Linked DNA regions of Kluyveromyces lactis. The protein of the gene in region 2 interacts with the protein of the main gene of each other region in a pairwise test. Links are inferred from orthologs where the notes say so. Each region holds a gene or a part of one and is shown on either strand. Other genes may lie near its edges.

Region 1 (3,094 bases), about 500 kb from region 2:
AAAATGTGGAGGATGAATATAACTATTCATTGACTCTATGATGTGTCAATGAAACTTCGTGAAGTATCATATTGGATTGCCGTATTTAAGAACAGTGTACAGATATAGCCTTCTGCATGTATACGTATAAATACCTTCCCAATTTTAAAACGTATTAGAAACGGTCAATTATTCCTATGACTCAACAGCCCCTCTATGAGTTGTACATGTCTCATTTTATTATCTCTGGAACACAATTAGCATGAACGGTAACGTACGATAAATTGGTAACGGGCTAAGCCTGGAGTGCTGAATGAAGAATATCGATGTATTAGAAGAGCGTAGAATTAATAATAATAATAATAATAATAATAATAATAATAATAATAATAATAATAATAATAATAATAATAATAATAATAATAATAATAATAATAATAAAATAAAAGATTAAAGGTAAGATAAACAGCAGGATTGAAAAACAATGATGCTGAGAACTGGATTTAGAGGACGTAGAATCATCGGAAAGACTGTCCTTGAGATAGTTTATCGTAGCTTGTGAAATGCATTGAAGTTGATACAAAGGATTACAGAAAGGAAAAAAATGTCAAGAGGCAAGAATCAATCTTGCTTTGGCTGTATCTTTGGAAAAAGGTCGCCAATGACTTGCAATTCGAAATCAGAGAAGTCATAAAGAGGAGGTAAATGTTTAGGTTGTGAACTTCCGCTAGGGAAGAAATAGCGCTCATTTCTTAAATCATCAAAGAATGGATGTGCAAGGATCCTTCTTGGAGAAGCTCTTCTTTCAGGTTCGTATACCAACACACTCATCAACAAATCAACACCATCTGGTCCAGCGTAGCCGAAATATTTCTCGAATCTTGCTTTTGGAGCTCCTTCAAATAATGGCTTGGAGAATAAAGGTCCATTGTACGATGGATTAGAAAAAAAGATGAACCTTTTGTCAGGAGGCCCGAGTAATTTTGTGATTTCATGTAGTTGTAATAATGGTTGATGGCCTTGGAATACTGCTTTACCTAAGAGCATTTCTCCCAATACACATCCTAATCCCCAAATATCTATCTTTGTTGTGTATTGTGTACATCCTACAATCAATTCTGGAGCTCTATAATATCTTGAACAGATGTAACTAATCGATGGTTGGTTCGATTCTAACTTTTTCGCTGATCCAAAATCACAAATCTTCAATATACCCGTTTGTGGATCAACCAAGACGTTTGAAGGTTTTATGTCTCTATGGCATATTCCTAGTGCATGTAGGTAAAGCATACCTCTAGCAATTTGGTAGGCGTATAGTTTAACGTGCTTCAACGGTAACTCCAAGTTATTCTTCTTATATCGTAAAATTTCGTTTTGTAGCATTTCGGGCAAGCATTCCATCGCCAAATGTTGGTATAATTTATGATCTGTTGGTGAGATATGAGTGTAGAAATATTCCAATTTGACAACATTTGGATGGTCCGCAATTCGTAAAATCTCTAACTCTCTAGATTTATACTCAGTCTGAGCAGGAACCTTCTTAATGGCAAAAGGACCCAACCACTTCTGATTATCCGGTGTTAGGTAAGCTTGCACCACCGTGCCAAATGCACCTTGCCCAATTCGCTTATATTCCTTTACGAGCATTTCTCGCTTGACATTGGATTTATTACTGATGACATCATGAGCCACGTATTCATCTAATCTTTGCATAGACATGGCGAATCGCAATAAGGGGAAAGAAGACAGATAGTAACAGATACAAAAGCGATGCGATATCTATCGAATAAGAAAAAAATTACCACTTTTTGTTCGTTGTATTTCGCTCAAGTCTTCAAATTACAAACTTCAACCGTTATTTTGCAAGCAAACCTTAGAATATAGATATGTTCCTAACGGATGTAACGTGGATGGTTCAGGAAAAAAAGGGAAATATTGAATTGTAATGAATCAATAAAATCTGTATTAAATGAATTGATGAAATGAAATCGCTAATATTAATAAAAGCAACACAACAGGGGGAAAACACTCTTACTCAAGCAAGTCAATTAGTCCCTTGCAACAAGTGATGCAGCAGTGTCTATAATGTTTCTTCGCAGTAAATTCTTCGCGCTGCAATCGCTCGGCAAATTCAACAACTAGAAGTTCCCAGAACTTAAACGTTTGAGCACCCTTAGCAGTGTTGTGTCCGTTATCAGAGACCCTATTTGTTACTTTGAAACAAGGTTCTGGTTTATTTTTTGTTTGTTTTTTCCTAATTTCCTAAAACTAAAATTGATTTTCATATTCGGTTTTCCAAGAATCTGATATCAATATGACTGACTGACTACTGACTGAGTTACACAATTATTGATAAAAGCGATATAAAAGACGTTCTAATTGAGGGAACGTTCCAAACAAAATTTAATTCTAAGATCTCCCAGAGCCAGCTTTTATGAAGTTCGACTCTGAGAGTACTACACTCTCTCTAGATATGAATGCACAAACGAAGTTAAATTGGCATTTATAGCATTAATGAGGAATTACTCAGGTTCAGGTCCTATATCCTCCACCTGAACTTTCTCTTGATTGTAGCATCAAGTTGTAGAAATGGTTTGGGGAATGCGAGGTGATCTTCGCCAGTCTGCATATAATATTTCTATCAAATGTTTACCCCATCGCATCTCGGCACTCTTTATCAACGTGATATCTTCCGCCAGTGGACTGCAGGCACTTCACATTAAAGGCTAATCCTTATACACCGGGTAATGACAAGTTAGTCACGTGTTAATGCAACACCGGGTAATGGTTTATGAGCATATCTTGAAAATGAATTGGGAAAACAGAAGATATTTAGAGTTTGCATTTCATAGAGGAATACTATTCGTCTGAGTATGGAGACCTGCATTCGAGAAAGACACAGGTTGTGGTTAATATAAATCGGCGTCGAAAATACACCACGATGCTGAGAACATTAGTGAGACTGTTCAGCTCAACGGCCAGGACAAACCAAGATGTGGCTTCCATCTTATTTTCATCTGTCAAAGGATCAGAAAAGGCTCCAGTGATGGAAGACACCAATGTTGTCCAACCTAATACTCTTCGTGGTAGCAATAAGAAAGGGAGAGTCGATGAA
Region 2 (2,696 bases):
AACATACTAACACTGATGGCGTGGTTATTGATCTCTTGACCTCTTTCTAGTAGCATATCTTTCAAGACTTGTGATAGTTCTTTATCCGAGAACAGTGTGGCCCACTTCTCAGCCAGGGTGTAGAAATGAGGGCTAATTGAGTGAAGATCGAGACTAGTAGCACCAGATTTAATAGCGTTTAGTACTCTTGGAGCGAATAAATCAGGCGGGAGCAATTCGACAAAAGGAAGAGGTTCTTCAACTCTAGAATCTTCATTAGATTGCGCACCCACTACAGCAAGAAGATGGACCATCCAAAGTGGTAACTCTAGTTTTGCATTTTTCGATATTGGTCTGCCTGGGTTTCCCTCCAGATAACCCAACCCAGGAACGTCATAGTTGAATCTACAGGGAAATCTAGTACCATCAGCCAGTATATCATCTATATCATAGTATCCCATCTCGGCATAAATCTAAGGCGATTCTCAGGAAGCTGAACCGGCAAAATATAGGCTGGTATTTGGAATTGTAATCTTACTTTTGGCGTTTCTTCAATATGAGATATACAAATGCTTTAAATGATTTTAGGTTTGGGCTTGATGGCTCTAAATGTAAACAATAGAAAAGAACGCAGTATTATAAAGCAGAAGACATCGCTCGCTAGTTAACGATTCTTTTTTACGTGTTTCGCGATGTTGAGAGGAAATGCATCTCGATGATATAAATCACGTGATTGATGCTTGCACACTACAAAATCGTCATTATATCACTGTACACGATTCGCATACATGGCTTTCTCGTTGTCCCTTTTTTTTTTCTCGAGTTTCGGAACAAATCGGGCCATCCTTTTCAAGCTGTTAGCGGAAGGACATTTGGTCCGAAATACACGTAAAAATGTGCGCCTACATACTAAATATTATGTCGCCCTTTTTCCCGGGATCCCAGTCTTCACCTAGTAAGATTGCTATTGTTGCATGTCTTCCCCCGGTACAAATGTCCTTAATACAGCAGGATCTTCCGTGCTAGTAACTTCGCAGCTCTGACTTGTCCCTCCCATTTTTTGTGGGGGACCCGAAAGAAGTTGATAATAAAGTACGTTTCGCTGCTAAGTGGAAATCCTCTCCTTTTACCGTAGAGCCTGACTATTTTCTGTTGACCCTGCTTTGATCTATGCCCATTGACATATGAAGTATAACATCACACTTTATATATATATATATATATTTATATATAAAGTAGAAAATGACTGCTGAAAATAAAGACAAGCAGTTTTAAGCATTTTCACTACTCCTTGTATTCCTATCTCATCAGACTCTGTTGAAATACGTTGCACCTGCGATACAATCTCTCTCTAGTGCTTTGTTTGAATATACTGTTTCCAATATTCTACCTCCTTCAGAAATCAATTGAAATACTGAGCCAGTTATCCTGAGTCATCTTCCACATCTAAACTTATAAGTTTTACAAACAAAAATGGTTTTAGACACAGTTATTTATCATCCTACGTTGACCAAATTCATTTCTTTGTTGAATAAAACAGCCGGCAGAGAAAAGATCTTGAGATTGCTACAGTACTTGGTTAGATTCCTTGCCGTTCAATACAGATCTGGTTTGAATAGACAGTTACAATCTGAATTCACGTCTGTCAGAAAGATTTTGAGATTCTTCAAGCCATTGAATCATATCCAGGACGCAGCCAAATTATACGATAACAAGATTGCTCCAGATCAATGGGTTAGATGGTTGTCCATAATCAAAAATGTGGGTTATGTTGGGTATTTAACTTTGGATCAAATTAACTTGTTGCGCATCCTAAAGTTAATCCCAGCTACTCCTATTACTGCCAAGAAAGTTCCTCGTTACACAAACTGGTTTTGGTTCGTTGCGTTGATCGCTGGTTTGATCACCGATGTCCGTAAGTTGTACACTTCTCAAAGAAAGATCGAAGCCTCTTTGAGTTCTAAGGGCAATGCACCAACCGAAAAGGCTAGTTCTGAAAAGTTGACCGCTTACTACAATGAGAGATTCGCCGCATTCAGAAGACTAATCTGGGATTCTATCGATACTTTCATTGTCTTAAATAACTTGCAATTCTTGCGTAATGACGAATCAAGTGTCGCCCTGGCTGGTGTCGCTACATCCGTCTTTGGTCTACAAGATGTCTGGAAGACTGCTTAAAGGACTTCTCCTTCCCTTTAATTTAGTTTATATATATATATATATTTATATGTATCTTCTTTCAACTTAACATATTACTCGATATGTTGATAATTGTAATTTCAGCTGGTACCGGGATAATTTCTGATGATGCCTCCGTATTAACTAGATGTCTGTGCAGCTATTAGGATATACTATCACCATTGTTTCATCATTTTAATACCAATGTTACCCGCACTTGTTGATGTTTACACTTTTCGACAGGCTTCAAAGTTGAAATTGTTGAAAACTACTTGAAATTCCATTTCATCGAGGACATTAAGCGAGCACCATATTCGCGGCTACTCTTGCACTTCTATTCGTAATTCATTGCTTCTGCGGGATAACATCACCACTATTTTTATAGGTGGATATTCCTCAATTTAGACTAATCGCTTTGGGATTATTTCATTCTGTTCTTTTCATTGAAAAGCCGGTTGTTAATCTGATCTGGTATTCGAAATACAGCAGATTGTTAAAAAGACAAAAGAATTGAAAAAAAAAATGAGCACAGGCACTGG

The links.
Region 1: the proteins of PEX11 (region 2) and MCK1 interact in a protein complementation assay, tested with the Saccharomyces cerevisiae proteins (2 studies listed by BioGRID). The link is inferred for Kluyveromyces lactis from reciprocal best matches to the Saccharomyces cerevisiae genes PEX11 and MCK1.

The regions. Positions count from the first base shown.
Region 1 is NC_006041.1:672,090-675,183, forward strand, and holds MCK1 (serine/threonine/tyrosine protein kinase MCK1), read right to left. Parts: upstream 1,699-3,094; coding exon 601-1,698; downstream 1-600. Other genes in the region: VPS68 (Vps68p), read left to right, coding at 1-41; MRPS18 (mitochondrial 37S ribosomal protein YmS18), read left to right, coding at 2,921-3,094. UniProt on the Saccharomyces cerevisiae protein: May be an autophosphorylating tyrosine kinase, a bifunctional (serine/tyrosine-specific) protein kinase, or a serine kinase that is a substrate for an associated tyrosine kinase.
Region 2 is NC_006041.1:176,975-179,670, reverse strand, and holds PEX11 (Pex11p), read left to right. Parts: upstream 1-1,452; coding exon 1,453-2,157; downstream 2,158-2,696. Other genes in the region: DNA replication protein PSF3, read right to left, coding at 1-440; SPT20 (Spt20p), read left to right, coding at 2,680-2,696. UniProt on the Saccharomyces cerevisiae protein: Involved in peroxisomal proliferation. Promotes peroxisome division and biogenesis.